Yarrowia lipolytica: one gene and its partner. Each later gene encodes a partner of the first gene's protein in a complex. Links are inferred from orthologs where the notes say so. Each region holds a gene or a part of one and is shown on either strand. Other genes may lie near its edges.

What was found.
Region 2: YALI1_C05264g (region 1) and YALI1_F10633g share a complex: the UniProt entries of both Saccharomyces cerevisiae proteins name them as parts of the M-Pol II complex. The link is inferred for Yarrowia lipolytica from reciprocal best matches to the Saccharomyces cerevisiae genes ANP1 and HOC1.

The regions. Positions count from the first base shown.
Region 1 is NC_090772.1:524,752-528,540, reverse strand, and holds YALI1_C05264g (uncharacterized protein), read right to left. Parts: upstream 2,116-3,789; coding exon 694-2,115; downstream 1-693. Other genes in the region: YALI1_C05252g (uncharacterized protein), read left to right, coding at 3,323-3,789. UniProt on the Saccharomyces cerevisiae protein: Involved in the organization of the secretory pathway. Required to maintain a functional Golgi apparatus.
Region 2 is NC_090775.1:1,061,483-1,065,370, reverse strand, and holds YALI1_F10633g (uncharacterized protein), read left to right. Parts: upstream 1-2,049; coding exon 2,050-3,243; downstream 3,244-3,888. Other genes in the region: YALI1_F10660g (uncharacterized protein), read left to right, coding at 1-81; YALI1_F10652g (uncharacterized protein), read left to right, coding at 114-950; YALI1_F10616g (uncharacterized protein), read left to right, coding at 3,718-3,888. UniProt on the Saccharomyces cerevisiae protein: The M-Pol II complex possesses alpha-1,6-mannosyltransferase activity and is probably involved in the elongation of the mannan backbone of N-linked glycans on cell wall and periplasmic proteins.

The DNA of each region.
Region 1 (3,789 bases):
TCGGAAGGGTTAAATCTGGCATTTCTTGTTCACAAGAGTGACTTTGTCCAATCGACTGGCACGAGTTCGTGTTGTTCCATTCACTGGTTTGCAGCCTCGAGACATCCTTTGTAGTTTATAGAATGGAGACCTGGGCGGAGCAAAACCCAGGTTATTTTGCGGTAATATCTTGACTTCCTTCTCAATATTCTCGAAGTTCTTCAAGAGAAGGAAAATATTCAGCTCTGTTTGACATGCTAACCAGAGAGCGCTACTGTAGTGAACACGTTGGGGGTCGACTACCAAGCACTTTGATCTGAATTACACAATAGGAATAGTTGATACTATAAAATATGATCAGAAATAGTATCAACTATTCCTATATCATTCTTCTTGTAGTCCTTCTTATCTAACTCATCAGTTTCTGCTTCTTGCCATATTTGAACCGAGCGGATTTCTGCTCGTGCAATGTCTACAAGTTAGATATTAGTTGGAGTTTCGCTCCTGGTGCTCCTCACATCTTCAACATGCAAAAAACTTACAGCACAGCGTCCAGTACGAGTACAGTACATGTACTTGTGCTGGTACATACTTGTTACTGTACTGGTATGGCACTTGATGAGAAAACACAAACACTTTATTCCAGTACAAATTTGAACCACCACACCACATCTTCTAACTGTGATTAATTATATCTATTCAAACATGCATTGATTAACCCTGAACCACCTTCTTGACGGCGTCAGGCTGCAGAGCGGCCTTGCCCACGCCAGGCACCACCTTTTCCTCCTCGGGGCCGTGAACCTTGGCTTCGGCCTTGCTCTGCTCCTCCGCCTTTTTGGCCCGAACCTTTTGATGCACGTCAAAGTCCAGTTCAACGTTCTTGAGAATCAGCTCTCGTTCTCGCTCCCACTCCTGCTTGACGTTGTCAAAGCCCGACTGCCATACCTTGTCATGGGCCTCCTTGAGGACTCGCTCCTTCTCCCGCAACTCGTCCTGCTGGGCCATCCACTCCATGTGTCGCAGATCGTCGTCAGAGGGCTCGTAAATGTGCCAAATGGTGTAGTGGGGAAGACCAACCACAGACATGCCCATTCGCTTGCACATTTTGCCGAACCCCTCGGTCTCGGCGTGCTTCTGGAACGAAAATGCGGGGAAATGGGCGCCGTGTCGGAATACAGCAGCCTTGGCAAGAATGGAAACTCCTCCAATACCGTCCAGCTCCATTTCCACGTGAATATCACCAAAGGGATCTCGCAGGTAGGCAAGATGGGGTCTCCAGGTAGCGTACTCGGCGTATCCTTCGACGATAACAGCGTCTTCGTCCAGAGTGTCAGCCAGTCGGAGACCGGCGTCAGACTCCTTCCACGAGTTGAGATCGTAGGGCTGCTCGTTGCCCAGCCAGTCGGGCAGGGGTCGCCACACATTGGGCACAATCACGTCCTTGTCGTGGCTCATGAGATCCTCCATGATGGTAGTGGGCACCTTTTCCACGTCGGCGTCTCGCCAGTAGACCCACGAGTGATCGGGTCTGAGAGCCACGGACAGCAGCCAGTTTCGAGCACGAGCCATGAGCTTTCGTCGGGGACCCTGGGCCTCGAAGCCGTGACGGTCAGAAAATCCCTGGCCAACGGCCTGGCCAAAATCCTTCTCGAAGATCTCAATGCTACCGAACCGCTTGGACACGTCTCGGTTGCTCTGCAGCGTGTTGAGCTCCTTGAGCAACACTCCCATGGTGTCGTCCTTGGAATCGGACACCAGAAACGCCAGATCTATCAGCACGTGGGGGTATGTCATCTTGTCCATGTGGGCGAACAGCATGGGCAGGTGGGCTGCGGCATCTCTGAGAGGCACCAGGAACAGCACTCGCTCGTTGCGGTCCTGGCCCCGTGCGCTGCCTGTGTAGTCTGCCAGATCGTAGTGGTGCACGCTGTCGATGCCCAGATCGGCCATGGGAGGCAAGCTGGAGGAGGTGAAGGGAACGAGCGCCAGCTCGCCAGAAAATACCCATGAGAGAATGCTCAGGCATAGATATAATGCTGTGCCAAACACTGAAACCAGGCCCAGCGTTTTGCGAGTCGACGGGGCCAGTCCGCCTTGGTTGCGGTCAAACATGTTGGATTTTGGTAGTGTCATTGAGACGTTGTGTGTCTGTTTGGATGACAGAAGTTGTATGTGATGTGAAAACTTGGTGTGAGTTTGGGTGTGGCGTTTTTCTTTGGTCTTGTCGCTTGGTTTGTCGTCGTGTCGGTCGCGTAAAAACTGTCTTCCACTGACCCCCGTATCTCCTCAAACCACTATCGTGTGTTTTGTGTGTCGTCGCCAGACGTTGAAGTGCGTCGTGCAGAAAAAAGACAATTTGAAACTCTACCCACTGGCATGCACGTCCACAGGTTGTGACGTGGCGACGCAAATATCGTCATAGTGCCATAGGAGGGCATATATATATAGCGTGGCTTTAGGACAAGTTGGTCTCTGTAGCTACCTTCTTTTTGTGGCCTCGCATATATAAACCGTCGCCCCTTAATCTACTGCGCTTCTCGTCTCCACCACGCTACTATATGTCAGAGTGGGAGAAAATCCGCACCAAGAGTGGTGGGAGAAGCGCCAAAAACGAAAAGTGTGGGTGGAAAAAAAAAGATCAATACAAAGTCAAATGCGATAAAAAATATGGCTCCCATTCCACTGCCCAGATAAAGGGGCCGTGGCGTACTAAACGGGGGCATATCGATTGCGAATAACTCGTGTTCGACTCACTCGACTCGACGGAGCTTTTTTTGCCTTCAATACAACGCCCATATATATTCTCCATAGCGTAGCATGTTGCGCCCTCCTCTTGTCCCCTATATTTGCTTCACCTATCACAAGAGAGTTAATGTGCAGAGCTAAAGGGTGAGGTGAATAATGCACGAATGAGCCGTGCCTGGAACGCGGTATACGGTGCAACAGCTTCTGGTACTGTACCGGTAATTACAATCGATGGATACAGGTACTATGGACACTTCCCTCTCGTCATGTGACCGTGCTGCGTCTTTCCGTCGCTCATTAGTGTCCATCATGCAAATCTCCCTTTCCTAAACTGCTCCTAGGTTTTCAGCCATGGCCATCTTCAGGCGTACAGTGCTGTACTGGTACCTGACAGTCATGTGATGTGCGCATGGAAGGACTGACGGACTACTTGGCGGGCCAAGAAGCGCGTTTTCTGTGTTCGTTTTGGGCAATCCACAATTGTGGAATGGCTTGTGTACGCGTGTATATTATGTGACCATCAAAAATTTCCGACTTTTCACACCCACTCTTTCTCCTCTGTTCTCCCTATATCTCTTCTATTTACCTCATGTAAATGGCTGTTATTGTGCCCGTGAAGCCTATTTGGACTAGAGTTGACTCATATACATCGACTTGTAAAATACCACTACAAAATCGAACACTGGCCGGATTCGAACACCGCGACCTGCAACCAACCACCTCTAATTATCACCACTATAATACTGCTTCAACAACAATGATCTGCTCGATTTCTGGAGAACCCGCGCAGGAGCCCGTTCTGTCGCCCAAGTCCGGTCACATCTTCGAGCGCCGGCTCATCGAGACATATGTCCAGGAAAACGGCAAAGATCCCATCAATGGAGAAGATCTGATGGTGGAAGATCTGCTAGAGGTTAACACCAACACGCCCACACGACCCAAGCCGCCACAATATACATCCATCCCGTCGCTTCTGCAGGCATTCCAGAACGAATGGGATGCAACCGCCCAAGAAGTGTTTTCGCTGCGCCAGCAGCTGCAAGAAACCAAGACTGAGCTCAG
Region 2 (3,888 bases), on another chromosome or scaffold:
TGGGTCTCGGAACTGACATTGGAGGCTCAATTCGAGGTCCAGCTGCTTGCTGTGGTGTCTATGGTCTTCGTCCGTCTGTAGGAAGAATTACAAACACGGGCTGTGATTATGTTATGCATGGAGCAGACTCGATCAAGGCATGTATTGGGCCCTTGACTTCATCTCCGAAGCTGCTGGAGTTATTCATGAAGGTCATGTCGGACGCAGAAGTCTGGAGATACGACCCCTTCACTGAACGGTCTATGTGGAATCCAGCTCTATTTCAAAAGAAGAAGCTAAGAGTGGGCTACTACGCTGACGACGGCTACGTTACTCCCCATCCCCCTGTCATTCGGGCTGTCAACGAGTACCTTGATAAGATCAAAAAGTTGAGCTTCAAGCATGTCGAGATCGAACTGGTTCCATTCACTCCTTACGACCCATCTGGAGCCGTCCATATCATCTCGTCGCTATACTTCCCCGACGGAGGAAAAGAGCTCAAAGAAGAGCTGTCCAGTGTTGGAGAATCTCTTACTGAAATGAGCAAAATGGCTCTAAATAACCCCAGCGTCCAGCGATTCAACATCGAGGAGCTCTGGAAAGCACACACTCAACGAGACACCTTCCGTTGGAACCTGATGCACGAGTGGACCAAGGCTGGAATCGACATGCTCATCACCCCGGTTCTGCCGGGAGCTGCCTTCAAGTTTGGAACTTGCAACTACTGGGGATACACAGCGTACTGGAATCTGGCGGATTACACTTCCGTGTCAGTCCCTTACTCGTCTGTCAAGGCTTCCGACAAGCCTGTGGAGGACTTCAAGCCCCGAAACAAGCTAGATGCCGAATGGCAGGCGTTGTATTCTCCCGAGACGTATGAAGGAGCTCCTCTTTCTATCCAGTTGATTGCTCCTCGAATGCAGGATGAGGTGGTTGTTGAGGCCTTAAAGTTGTTTTCCGATATCAATTAACGAATAGAACCAATACAGACAGTATATTAGTACAACAAAGCAACCAAGTAATGTGTAACCAATGACCGTTGAGCGTTATCTTACTCACTTTCAGTATGTCATAAGTTGGAACTTGCACAATATTGTCACAGTGAAATGATCCAAATCTATTCAAAGCTGAGATCACGTGACCACACAATGGGCACGTGACATTACCCCTTATTTTCTAGTTCCTTGTAGGCTGTACAAGTCAACAGTTGTTCCTACATGTATGATGCAGCACAGCCAGCTGGCGCGGCACAACTTTGTTGGCTGCGTCATACTCGTACAAGTACTGTAGCTCCGAGGTTGTTTTGGCAATAGAACGGCTGAATGGCTGAGTAATGATCTCCTTGTTTTTGGGTCTTTGGGATCTGTTTCGTTACATTGTAATGTTACAACAAGTTGTTATAGGTTGTATACGCACTGTAAGACACAGGTAATAGGACAGGCGAAATGAACGCTATTGGTTTAACTGTGTGATGCTGCTTAGTTTATGATGATGGACTTTGAATAATGTGATATTGTTTATACCGTTAGAATCTTCACAATTGGGGTATTTAATTGAACTATTTTTCCTGTCGCTATCACGTCTCTAGCACCCATTGATGTCGCCTTTTTATCGCTGTCACCTATAATATATGAAGAGGGTCTATTTTTGGGAGTTTTTATTCCTGTCGACTTTTTGCATCTGCGGACTTTCTTTTCTTATTTTTTTTTTTCTTAATTTTTTTTTTTTATGAACCGTTTTTTGCTCTCGGTGTGTGCCTTTATGTTTCTTTTGCGTGAGATGGGTGCAATACAACATTCGTAGGCGAGAGGTATAAGTAGTTACCAGTACATGTTGAAGTAGATTTAATGACAGAATGAATGCAACGAGGTGGCTACAACATCCTCAAAATATAAATAGCCATCCAATCCCTCTTATCGTGTTAATCTCTCGCATGTTACTTCATGTTAATTGTCTCGGAGAAGACGCACACACACACACACCACGCTACACACAAACTCGCGTAACTTTACACGTACATCAACTCTAGTGACATCGCACGTCGACACCCACTCGATACTTCGTCACACCATGGCTCTCATCACAGCTCGACGGGTGATTTTGCTGGGGCTCGCGGTCGCGACCGTGTGCTTCCTGTTTTTCGGGTCCAGTGAAAAAATTGCCCCCACGGTGCTACTGCCCGGCGATATGTCCGCTTTCGAAAACAAAATCTACAAGATGCGGGCGGAGACGGAAAAGGCGCTCAAGGAGCAGGAGGCAGCCGCGGCCAAGCGGTTCGATTCGTTCAACAAGAAGCTCAGCGAGCTGGAGACCGAAAACCGGGTGCTGGAGAAGGAGATCCAACGTCTTCGAACTCCTCCCCAGGGAGCGTCGCTCAGAGAAAAACTCGCATACACCTTCCCCTACGAGACGTACAAAAAGTTCCCTGCCTTCATCTGGCAGACGTGGAAGGACGAGATCACCGACGACACGCCCGACACGATCCGACAGCCGATCCGAACTTGGACGGAGAAGAACCCCAGCTTTGTCCACGAGGTGCTGACCGATGACGCAGCAGCAATGTTTGTACAGCACCTGTATGCTCAGATCCCTGAGGTGGTGGAGGCGTACAAGGCCATGCCTAAAAACATTCTGCGGGCCGACTTCTTCCGTTACCTGGTTCTGCTGGCTCGGGGAGGTGTCTACTCCGATGTCGACACTGAGGACCTCAAGCCCATCCCCAACTGGATCCCTGATGAGGTCTCCCCTTCCACTGTTGGTCTGATTGTCGGTATTGAGGCCGATCCCGACCGACCCGACTGGAAGGAGTGGTACGCTCGACGAATCCAGCTGTGCCAGTGGACAATCCAGGCCAAACCCGGTCACCCCGTTCTGCGAGACATTGTGGCCCGAATCGTGGAGAAGACGCTGGCCAAGAAGCGAAGTGGTACTCTGGAGATGGCTGGCGACAAGACCGATGGCAGCGAGATCATGGACTGGACCGGGCCCGGAGTGTGGACCGACTCTGTCTTCGACTACTTCAACGACCGAAAGAAGTCGGGACTCAAGTCGCAGGTCGGCATCAAGGACTTTTTCAACCTCAAGACCCCCAAGCACGTGTCGGACGTGTTGGTTCTGCCCGTGACGTCGTTCTCTCCCGGTGTCGACCAGTTTGGCGCCAAAGATACAGACGACCCGCTGGCCTTTGTCAAGCATCTGTTTTCCGGTTCATGGAAGCCCGAGGACGAGAGAATGAACCAGAACCAGCCGCAGGTCAATCAGTAGCTAGCATAATAGATTTGGGAAGAGTGAGAGAGATTCGAGGGCAAAGGTCCGAGAGTCTCCAATCAACAGTAGGAGGAGAGGCGAGCCTGTGTTCCGACCGTGGGAACTTACAGAACTGTGCAAGATCAAGCCTCGATCAACTCAGTAATTCTTGCCCGGCATTGCGACTTACACATACAGTACATACAAGTATACAGAGTTCTTCCATATTACTTGAGAACAGAGATACAGCTAAAAGCGAGTCTCGAGAGTGTTGTAAATTTCTATTGGTGGATGAAGGGTCTCATTTGGTACGAAAGGATGGTCTTTGATATTCATATTGCTACCTTTTATACAGTAGCTATTTGAAAGAGTAAAAAATGGCGTATATCAGGAGGATGTGAATTAATCTGAATTGTTTGGTTTTCTCACGATTTAACCTCCATTATTTCATACAAATGCGATAGATTTAATAGGAGCTTTCCGACCTCAACAATGTGTTATTGTGGCAAATTGCTTCTCTCAGTTGACTCTCATTCAGTTGACTCTCATTCCGGCTTGCCCTCTAGAAGCCTTCCCTACATCTCTCGCCACGTGACCGTTATCGTGCATAAGCTTTGCCAAGTGAAAAAGCTCGGAATCATCTTTACCCTGAACACCACACCA